Drosophila melanogaster: one gene and its partner. Changing the gene in region 2 together with the main gene of any one other region gives a genetic interaction. Each region holds a gene or a part of one and is shown on either strand. Other genes may lie near its edges.

What was found. Genes that interact genetically often act in the same process or in processes that back each other up.
Region 1: of upd3 (region 2) and Xbp1, changing one suppresses a phenotype caused by changing the other (phenotypic suppression), as found in Drosophila melanogaster (one study listed by BioGRID).

The regions. Positions count from the first base shown.
Region 1 is NT_033778.4:21,141,948-21,146,298, reverse strand, and holds Xbp1 (X box binding protein-1), read right to left. Parts: upstream 2,751-4,351; 5' UTR 2,423-2,750; coding exon 2,163-2,422; intron 2,099-2,162; coding exon 1,435-2,098; coding exon of another isoform or gene 839-1,434; 3' UTR 549-838; downstream 1-548. Other genes in the region: CG9406 (uncharacterized protein), read right to left, coding at 3,102-3,200, 3,253-3,463, 3,516-3,753, 3,812-3,824.
Region 2 is NC_004354.4:18,275,686-18,283,280, reverse strand, and holds the start of upd3 (unpaired 3), read right to left. Parts: upstream 6,049-7,595; 5' UTR 5,679-6,048; coding exon 5,676-5,678; intron 3,848-5,675; coding exon 3,398-3,847; intron 3,296-3,397; coding exon 3,098-3,295; intron 1-3,097.

The sequences.
Region 1 (4,351 bases), on a different chromosome or scaffold from region 2:
CTGTTTAACCGTACACTCTATTGCATTTAAAAATTGTTTATCTTTCTGCAAAATCACAGGTATGTGGTTCGTAAGCAAAAACTGGTTCAAGTCTATAAACAACTTTTTCGAACTAGTTCCGAAACAAATTCGCTTTTGCTGGCGCATTAGGGTGGCTCTATTTATATTCTTTAAAAAATATATTTTTCGAGCTTAGCAAAATCTTGTTTAAATCCTAGTTCAGTTTGGAGAAAAACAGAGCTGTATTTCGTCTTATTAATGAATAATATACTAATAAATAAGGTGCATATATTTCAGAGCATAGTTGTGGTTTTATTTCACCTATCCGCATTATCTGCAGTCAGTTCAACTCACTTTTTGTAATATATATATATTTGGTTAATAAAAACAAAATGACTCATATGCTTACACCTAAAACTGTCCCATCATCTACGCAGAAATTGCGTCATAAAAAAGTGGCGTGATGCTAGAGAAGTGGCGTGATTAACTATTTATCATACGCAGTTCAAAGTTCTGTTTCGCCTAGAGTAAACAAAAACAAAGAGCTTGTTGTTTGGTTTGGTTTATATTTTGAATATTTTTTAGTCAAATGTTTTTTTTTCAAATTCTTTGAGCACAATACATACATATAAGAGTAATCATAAGCCTATGTGGTTAGAGATTGTTAAATATAAATGGAAACCTACAGCTAAACTTAGCGCTCTAACTACAGTATCATATATAAAGCCTTCGATTATGAATTTATGTACAGCCTATCAACTAAAAAACTTAAACAAACGGCGGCCGGCCAAACTTAACAATAAAAGAGAGACAGAACGAAGTTTTCAGCTTGAAAAACTCAGATCAAACTGGGAAACAGCTCGTCAAAGTTGCTCTCCCAGGGGAAATCGTCCTCATCTGCGGGCAGAGTGAGAGCCACGGATGTGGGAGAGCCCAGTATGGACTCGTATCCATGGTCCGAGGTGGCCGAGTGTAGAGACAATGCGGGGGATTTGGCCAACGGGGAGATCGCCTTAACGCGCGGACGTAGGAATCGGTCGATCGGATCGAAGCTTTCCTCGTCGTCCGAATTGTCGACGGCGTTCATCACGTTGAGATAGACCTGTGACGGAGACGTCGCTGGCGGCGGACACTTCATGATCACGTCCGTTGAGTCGTCGCCAGCGCTGACGCCGTCACAGTAGATCTCCTCGACGGCCTCGTTCACCGGCACCGCATCCCCGTCCATCACGATGGTGATCGAGTTCGTCTTGGCATCATACGTGCCGTACACTGTGTCCGGAGTGGCCTGTAGTTGCGAGGCGGCCGCTGTCGCTGTGATTGTGGCTGTTCTCGAGGCTGGCGCTGCTGTGGTATGCTGTGGGTTTCCATTTATCTTCAACATCTGCACATTTAGGCTGACCTTGTGCTCGGTTTCCTGTTCCTGCTCAACATTCAGGCCATTAGCTCTATGCCCGTCGGATTCCAAGCGCTCTGCTGCGGGCCCCACCATTGGTCCAGGCAATCGCTCTGCGTTGCCTGCATCTTGGGCAGCAGCTGGGCTGCTCGCTCCAGCGCCTGTTTCCAGGTCTGCTGTGATATCTGCGAGCAGACTTTCGGCCAGCTCTTCGAGGCGCTTGACGTCGAACTCTTCGTCGACGCCAAGCATGTCTTGTAGAGTAGGCAGAGGGCCACAACTTTCCAGAGTGAGGCCAGGCTCTTGCTGCTCTTCAGCTGCTCCGCCAGCAGACGCGCTGACGACTGTGTGTCCACCTGTTGTATACCCTGCGGCAGAGGGTCAGCTTTGGATGCTGCAGATCCAAGGTTGGTGGACGCACAGCCCTCAGCGCCTGCGCTGGCGTTGGATTGGCTGATGCATCTGGTGTTGTGCTGCTGTTGCTGCTTCAGTTCGGCGAGTTCTTGGCGCAGCAGCTCCAGCTCCGAGTCCAGCTTGTGGTTCTTGGCCAGCAGTGACTCGTTGATGGCCTGCAGGCTATCGCACTTGTTCTGTAGTATTTCCGTTCTGTCTGTCAGCTCCTTGATCTCGTAGTCCATCTCCTCCATGCGTGCCTTCTTGCGGTCACGCGATGTCTGGGCGGCCACACGGTTCTTTAGCTTCCTGTTGTTCGATAATAACAGTTAAATAAGGCGCTCAAATTTGGTTAAAAGTTGGGTGGACTTACTTTCTTTGCACTTTCTCCTCCCAGGTTAGATGGTCCAGGCGACGCTTCTTGGCCTTGGGCTGGGATGCAGCCATGTTATCGTCATCCATGTTCGACGAGGATGCGTATCCCGAACTCGAGGGCGTGGGCGAGGCGGAGGGCGTGGCCGACACCTTCAGCAGAGCTGCCGTAAGGGGGGCGGGCCGCAATTTGGGCAGATTATTCGATGTGATTGCTGTCCGCGGCACGGTAATTAGCACTGTGTTTGCTGTGGGTGCCATGTTTAACTGGTTCGGGGCTAAATGATAAACTGCTGTGTGCTGTGTGCAATTGTGAAAAGCGACTTTCCACTTAGATTTGCATTGTAAGAGCGTATTTTAACTTTTGCTTGTTTTAGGTCGTCTCATGAACTTCGACTGCGCTTCTCGGACGCTCTGCTGGTTTGAATCTCTTCATCGCCGCCGACTCGGGCTTTTCTGGCTCCGTCTCACGCAATTTTCTCATCCACCTTTGCAATATCGACCGACCAGTTTTCCTTTCTGCTGACGTGTTCTTTTCCGAATGGCTGTGAAAAGCTGACGTGTTTTTCTAGAAGAGTTGGGGTAATGAGGGATGGAGCAGCACGTATCGGGCTATCGATTACAAATTCAGTTAATTTAGAGCAACGATGATTTGTAAAAGCGCTTAAATGTATTGTAAATTTTTTTTTATTGGATTTAATAAATATATTGTAACATTTCAGGCAATATCTTAAAACAAAAAATAGTTCCTTAAATTTTTCACACAATTCATTTTAATATCCAAACATAGAACAACGACTATGCCATCTCGAATTGCGCATGGCAGTGTGACCGTCTATATCTCAATGTGGAACAGTAAAAACGAGAAAGGAAATTATTTGTTATAAAATGTATAAATTTATTTTCCGCGTTATTTGCAATTGCTTGATTAAAGGGGCATCTAAAACAGTGGTTGTTGTGGTTTCTTGCCCTTTTCTTTTTCGGCTTGTGCTAGTTCCTCCTTGATAACCTCGGCAATTTCATAGATATCAGGCTTGTGCTGGAAATTTTAGATGAATCCAATCAAAAGTAGTTGGGAAATGCGATCTTACCCTGAGTTGATTTATGTAGAAGGTGTAGGGAATGTGTCCAGTAATGGGATCAATTGCCACAGGCCACATAGCATCCAATTCTTCAGCGGAGAAAGGTTCTCCTTCCTCCGCCATTAATTTGCCGAAGTACTCCTTGGTCAGATATTTTTTATTTTCTGGATCCAGGGTCTCAAAGGCCTCGAGAAGCTTTTCCGACGAGGCTGGTTCCATTCTGTGGACAAATATCGTTAGTTGCTAAACAAACCTAAAGTATATTGAATAACTGTCGATCCATCAGCAGTTTGGAAACGTGTTCCATGAACTTCACCAAATGGGCTTCGCCTGGATAGTCGACGGAATCGGTGGCTTTAATGACATCTTCGACCTCTTTTTCGGTGGGCGCGCAACCTAAAAATCGGAGCACGTTGCCGACATTGCGGGAATCAATATACTTATCGCCATGAGTATCAAATATGCAAAATGCTTCCGAAATCTTTTCCTCGAGTTCGTTGTTTAGGGTAACTACAAAAGGTTAGTGATATCAAGCGGAGGTGCGATGCTCATTTTATGTAATGCCTACCACCAACTTCCATCGCGGGTATATACTTTAGAATTTAATAAATAAACTGATAATTTTAAAATACGATTTATTTTTTCCTGATTTATATGTTTTCTGATTGAAGCATTATTAAAGGTTTGCTGTTTATATTTCGAATTTGAAAATAACGATCGGAAATCGATAATGGCGCCAAGCAAAGGGTATCGCCCCTGTGGTCATACTAGGTGTGGTGAATATCGACCGATAAGCATCAGTCGATAACTGCCTGCGAAGCAGTCGTGTTGAGCGTCGCGTTATTTTGTTTTCTGTTTTGTTTTTCGTTTCGTGTTTTTAATTTGTTTCCCATTAATTTGCAATTAAAGTTGAGACAATCGTTTAGCTAAAGATTTCATGTTACCCAAACAGTGAAGTTCGAGACTTTCCAGTGCCTTTTAAAGGACGAAATAGACTGCATTTGCTTGTTGTCGCTGAGCATTTGCATCTGTGTGCGTCGTTTGGCAGCAACAGGTTTTCCAACTCAACTCAACGCGCCACCTCAGTTTTCATTTGTTTTCGATATTC
Region 2 (7,595 bases):
TCTCTGTTGATAAGAATCTATGGATTCATATTTGTACACCCATTTTATATATACTAGTTTTTAGATTAAATTAAGTGCTCTATTTATATCATTAACTGTCCATGAACTTGTAAACTTATATATTCCCAACTTAATCATCATAGTTACCCCAACCCATATTGGAGATCAACTCCATAATCCTTGATTATATCAGCATAGAATTGAAAATAAAACAATTATATGGCAAAGTATGATATTTTTAAGTATTTAACGCCTTAATTACTTGTATCGCCATGAATGAAGGTCGGGGTTATCTTTATTGAATAAACCTTTTTCTGCACTCGCTTGCAATAAAAATCCCCAATTGTAAAATTAAAGTATTAGAAACGGCGAAACCTTGGCGGAAATTGCGATATCCATATCGCATATGGTGTATATAGTCGATCCTATAGTTCGAATTTTTTGGGTTGAGTGAACTGAGCCCACCAGCCCCTTTGCGGACCCCCCCCCCCCCCCCCTCCCATCGCACACACACTCCCCTCATCCCAACGACCAGAAACTTATCTGGCCGGCGGCTGAAAGTGAAAATCAAGCCGAACGCTCGCGCCGCTCTCTCGTAACTGTTTTTTGAGTTCTCGGCTACGCTTCGGCTGGCCGCTCGTGACGTCGACGTTGGCTCTTCGTTTCATTCATGTCGCGCTCGCCGCATGCCGCCGCTCACCCTTTCCCGCTCCCGCTCCCGCTCCCGCTCGCTCTCGCTGGAGTTTCGGGGGAATCCACGGCTCTGTTTCATATGAATCACATATCGCGTATACGCTCCGCGCCCCGTATCCCCCCGATCAACGACCACAAACGGCGTGTGTGTGTCATTTGCAATAAACGAGCGTTGTGAACTACTCAAACATATTATCGTTAAGGTCATTTCTTCTTCCGAACCGATCCGCTGCGGTATCAGCGAATTCGTTGTTTTCCTTTTTTTTTTTGGGTGGGTATGAGCGAATGCATGACGTCAAAAGGCCGTCGATTCTCGGTATCGAAACGATCCATCTAAATATAGAGTTCTTCTATCAGTCCCGTTTGCCACCTCGTCGTCGGATCGGGTTCCGATCTGGGGGTTCCGTTTCACTCTGTTCCGGGGATGTCAACAATTAGTTGGCACAATTGGCATTGACGTAGCCGATATTGGCCAAATATTGACACACATCCCGAGCGGCAAGTTCCCGAGCTTGGTGCAGAGTGAGAAAAGGTGGATCGACTGGTCGAATCGAGTAGTGTGTGATCAAAGGTATCTACTGAAAAACTCAACACGAAAGAGTACTTATAAGCAGCGAAGGCAGTCAATTGTTACCCTCATTTTCTCACAGTGTGATCCGCGAGGCCCAGGTACTTTTCCCAGACTATGACGACAATTGAGAAATTTCAGCGAAAGCCAAACTTTGCTCATCGCCCTGAATAGACGATTGAGTGGAATCGCTGGCTAAGTGAATGAATGGATGAAATGGAATGGCAACTATGATGGGACTGGCTAAGTTTAGCAGAACGGGTAATTAAAAAAAAAAATAAAAACCAAATTCCCAGGGGGTGGCGACCTTTGAGACTCCACTTGCACTCTGAACGCGACTTTTGGCTGACTCGAAGTGAGTCGGCGGTTTTCGCGGATCTTGACCACACTTGAGATTTTTCGCCGCACCTGCGATCTCATAAAAGTATCTGTTTATGGCCACGCCAAGTGAACTACACTCATCTGGTTATCTGCAGATATTACTGTCCTATACGAAACTTTCCCGGACACCAAGGAATTAGCACGTTGGGGCAACCAAGCCGATCTCGACCGATTCACGAAGCGACATCCACCTCATTGAAATGTGGACTAGACCCTTTCTAGTGCACGGCGTTTGTCATACTTGGTCACGTATCGACTGGTACTCCGTGGCAATCATTTCGCAAGTACCGCCATCCACATTCCGGAGCCCACATTCTATATTACTTCCATTACTTCCATTATTCACTGGCCTATCGGTCACTCCGGGTTTTTCCTCAACTGGTCTTGCTCATTTCACCGTGTCAGTGCGAAAATATTTCCGAATTCCCAGACCCCGACAATTTGGCATTACTAAACGGTTCCACTCTATTAACATCAAACTGTCCGCAACTCGAGGGTCTCGAAATTGAAAAGCTCCATAATTTTCCTCTCGCCATAATTCAGATGTCCGTGGCGAATCCAATTCGAAATTTGATTAGCTTCTGTTTGTTGTTGTTTACTTGTCAAAAGTGTAAATAAAATGTGCCGCTTGATTTTATTTTGTTTATTCAACAAATTATCCACTTCAGATACGAATTGAGATTCGGATTGAACTTCGTTTTCAGATTCAGATACAGCTTCAGCTTCAGCTTCAGCCTCAATTCGGATCGATCCAATCTACGGATTGGCCATAAAACGTGATCGCTGGATCAAGGCCGGTTTGGGGGGGATCGCGATGGATCTATATAAACAATAATCGAAAAAAAAAGCGCGCGCGCCGTCAATTTGCTCTTAATCTTAATGTGGTTATGGCATCGATTGCTAATGTTTTCCCTCGTGCTGTTGTTGTTTGCTACCAATGCAAATCGACGGTTAATGGGGCGTCCCGAAATGCCGGCTAATGCTGACAAAACGAACGAGGTGCGATCGAAAAGTTGGCGGCACTTAAGTGCTCAATGCAAGTTGCTGTTGGAAGTGTTGTCAAAACAACTCCATCATCAAGCTAGCACATATGAACTATATACATATCTCAATCTTTATTTCCTTAGTTTCCTTCATACCCCTCTATATAGATTGATAAATTCCCTTAATCACGCAAACAAACTATGGCAACAACTCTCGCGGCTGGCGGCACGATTCCCTCGGATTCGGACTCATATGACCGCTCCACTCGCCATTAGCTTGTGACGGCCTGTTTGCACCTACGCAGGTGAACGGGGCGAACGCCTCACGTGACCCTCTTTTTTATCACCTCAAGCTCCCTGGCAACAGAAGAACCCCCCGCGAGTGTTTGATGTTTGTAAATGATCCAGTAGTTCTTCACATGACGATATATGCATACATATATTATGCTTATGGCATATGGACGACACTCACCTGTTTGCTAGTGAGATTCAGACGGGGCAGGAATCTGTAGTTTCCCTTATAGAATCGCCACTTGTTCTTCTCGACAATGTCCAGAGTCTTGGTGCTCACTGTGGCCAGCTTGTCCGCATTGGTGGTGATCCTGGCCTTGTCCTCGGCCTGGATGCCCCGCAGCTCGCGGCCCGTTTGGTTCTGTAGATTCTGCAGGATCTGAAATAGATACAAATACATATATACATATAGATAATAGTGTGTGAATTAGTTGTGCCAATTTATTTATCAGCTAAGAGCCAACTTTCGCTTGAAACTTACCCTTTGGCGTTTCTTGCAGCGTTTCGCCTTGCTGTGCGTTTCGTTCAGACCCGTGGGCTTCAGATTGCAGGTGTTCTCCCAGTCCAGATGCGTACTGCTGGCATTCAATTTCTGCTGGAAGGTCAGCCGGAAGTTGGCCGCTCTGGAACGCTTCTGTAGGTGCTTCAGGGGATTGGTGGGATTGATGGGACTGGAGGGGCTGTCAGTGGGCGGGGTGGCCAGGTGACTGGGCGCCGCTGAGACGCCACAACCGCCGCCGGAGAGGGCAAACTGGGACATGGCCAAGGCGAGTAAGATCAGTGACCAGTTCCTGTTCAGGCGTCGTCGTCGATCCACGAACGGCGGTTGCGGCTGCGGTTCCACTGGATTCCTGGTTCTGGCCGTTTTGTTACCGCTCCGGCTACCGCTTCCGCTGCTCCTGCTGACGTCGAGCGGGCGGTCAGCTGTCGTCTGTGGATGGAAAAAGTTCCGAAATAAGCTAAACAAAATTTATACAAACACGCAAAGCCCTCAAGATAACACAGTTTCATTTTTTTCCCACCCATAATGGCTCGAGTTTCACTACGACTTCTTGACGTCACATCTTCGTCAGACGTCGTCGGTGTTTAGCATGAGAAAAGTCTAGCAACAGGTTATACTATTATTAGTTACCAAAAAAAAAAAAAAAAAAAAAAAATCAAATACGTATGTTCGATTTTCAGTTATTTACATACTCAAACTTTGGCCGAAAAGAGGGTTCGGTTGGCCAAATGTATTCCCCCTGCCGAGGGACCAATTACCATAAGTCAAGACTAACGGACGCTGCGCGGACAACTGAACTGAACCGACTGGTTATATATTATCTTGGCCAACTTTTGCCAAATATAAACCAAAATTCGCGCACGTGATGGTACGGATGTGTGATTGTGGTGCGATTGTTTTGTGTTATTTTGTGTGTGTTAGTGCCTGAGTGGGCGAATTATGATGATTGTTGGCTGCTTGGGGATTCCCGCTGGACGCACTTATGCGCAAACCCATACGCACACATATAAATATAATCGCAATTGTTTGGGGGGCCCGAAGCATGCGCGATTTGTTATTATTATCGTTTGCGCTTTAGCTACAGCTACGGCCATTGCTAGTGCCGTCTTTATCTGGCTGAAATAATTATTTCAAATTAAAAATAAATTTCTTTATTTAGCCAAATTATCATGAATCATCGTGTGTCGGGTGGAGGTCGACTTGCAAAGGTAGTGGTGATAGTGGTGCCACCGCACTGGCGGTGGCGGTGCTATCTCATATTGTCTGGTGGGGTAGGCTCCAATCGCTCCACACGCCTCCTACACATCGAGCAGCATGGTCAACGAAACATTGGTCTTGCAAACTTTTGTGAAATTCACTCTCTCTTGCCGTGCGTTTTCGCTCTCCGGCTCTTTATCGCGGTCCCTTTGCCCGGACCTTGTCCTCCTGTCTGTGCCGAATCGCTAACGCTTGTAGTGACAACCGCTGACGCATCCAATCTTCAATTCCTGCCAAACACCAGCAACACCAGCACCACCAGCACCACCAGCACCACCAGCACCACCAGCACCACCAGCACCACTGGCACCACCACCCCCGCGGCACGAAACGTGTAAATTAATTTCACATGTTTCGCTCTTTTTTTGGCCATTTTTCGTCAAAAGGGTTTTTTTTTACAGTTGCAATAACTATTAAGTTAGTTGCATAAGTTGTGTGGTTGAATGGAACAATAAGTTCCCAATAAGTTAGAATAGTAATAGCAAATAAATGCAAGTCGCCCCTGTACGATTAGTCATACTCATCCGAAAATAACGTCCATAGGTTTTCAAATAACTTTGGGTTTTTCATAATTGTAATAACTTTAAAATGCTATGATTCACATGTGGAAAAATGAACTTAACATATTGTGCATCATGAATTTATAACTTGTTTTCAATGCCTATCACCAAACAGTGTCAGTGATTCACGAATGAGTTTCCCCCATGAGAGGCTGGAGATGATGGTCCCTTTCGGTTGTGAGCCCTATCCCCATCTCCAATCCCTAAACCCATCACACCTCCTCCTTGGGGCCAATTTCATCATGTGTGGGGTACGTGACACCTCACCTGACCATTGCAGCTCTTGGCAAGAACTCTGCGGGTTCAGAAGTATCGAGCGAAAGACACCTGTACCTATCAACAAACCGAGCACGCACAGGTGAATTCTCTTATCGGCAGCAGAAAAGGCAAATATAAAATCCCCGAAAAAATACGCGCCTGCGGTAGTTACTTGTACTTACCATTTACATAAAAATCGTTGGCTGGGAATTCCGCACAAAAATTCGTACTTGATTGACACGCACTTTGCTTTTGTAACGCTGTTAGTCTTTTCTTTGTGTGTATTTGCCGGAAAGAAGCTTCCAGAATGCAACGGGGAAAAAAACGAAAAAAAAAACTAACCAATAATAAAAGCGATCGCGATTTGGCGAATTTGGCGAATCAGGCGAATCAGGCGACTTTGTCGAATTTGTTGAATTTGTTGAATTTGGCTGCGTATCTTTGTATCTTTATATCGCGGCTGGACGAACTATCGCGTTAAGTGTCGACGCGCTGCCTTCGACTGTCTGCTATGATTTGATTCCGATTCGATCGAAGTCGAAGTCAACAGCGCTGTCGATTTCTTGCCGCTGGAGAGCGTGGAGTGGAGTGTTGTGGAGTGGATTGGAGTGGCTTTCTCGCCGTCTTTGCGTTGTTTTTTTGTACAATTTTTGCAGTAGCGTTTCTTCACTTTTTTTTCGCCTTTTCGCGTGCAGTGGTTATGTGTGTATATATATTTAGTTTTTTGTTTTTGTGGCCGGCGGAGACTGACTGAACTCCTCAGTTACTATGAGCATACTAATGAGGAGGCGGACGCCCAGTCCGCCGGTCATGTTCGCTCCGCTCGAATCGCCAAAGAAGCGGAAGAGAGACAGGGAGAGGCTCTCTCGGCTGTCATGAGTGTGCAATCGCAAGAAAAGCGCTCAAAACATTCGCCGAGTGCCAAAAACAACGCGAGAAAGCCATAAAAAAGCACAGCTGAGCGATAAAAAAAAACAAAAACGACTCATAGCGGCTGGGTGTGGACAATGGGTTACCCTGTACCCAGGGTACTAGCAACTAGGAGCAATAAGATACGCTGAAGAAAGCATGGAAAAAAGCAGAAGAAAAGTATAACTTTAACTAACTTTAGTTAACTTTAATAATACTAAATATGAGAGATAACATCTAAACTAGGCAACAACAAGTACAATCATCCAATAGCTATTCGATTGAGACCAATATTTGGTTAGTGAACTAGTAACAAATGTCATAAATATTCTATATTACGGCCATTCCGAACATAATAGATTTATTACCAATATTACCCAGTCGTAATGGGCGTGAAAAATACAAACGTTTAGTGAATGATTAGGCCAGCTAGATTTCAACACGATGAGAAATACTCACAGCTCTCCAGCGCTCCCCTTTGGGGGATGACACATAATCGGCGCACTGGAGTGGAGTGATTGATCGATTCGTCGACTGGGCCGATCTCCACCAGATAAGGTCGCTGGGAGAGCTATTCACTGTCTCTCCCGCTCGCAGATAAACAAAACATGTGTAATTTGCCTATTTGCCGGTCTCTGGGGAACGAAATGAGCGGCTACTTGGCTCTTATCGAATGACTTTCACTCGGCACACACTTCCGATTCACCGTTTCTCCGGATCTCCCGTTCTCCGATTTCGATTCCGAGACGATCGTTTCCGATCCGAAGCGAAACGATCCATTCCGTTCCGTTTTGTTCCGTTCCGAAGTAACCCCCGCAAATAGTCGGCAATTTATGGGGGTTGGCATGAATTTCAGTTATTTCCGTTCAATTTCACAAGAATATTACTCATACGCTCCGTCGGCCGCCGACAGCCGTCAATGACGACACGATTTGTTCAACCGCGAGCCGGGCTCTCACGCTCGCAGACACGGCGATTCATTCATGATTGCCGACTACGCTCCACCGGTCGACAGAATGCGGATGCCGAGAGGGGGTAGGCGCAACTGCGGGGTGGCGGTCTAAATTTCACCGCGCGCCAAAACCATGATCAATCGAAAAGTAATTGAGCACTCATCGTTACTCATGGCCAAAGTGGCGACGTCTCCGTTTTGTCGTTTACCGTTTACGGTTCACGCTTTGCCGCGTACCATG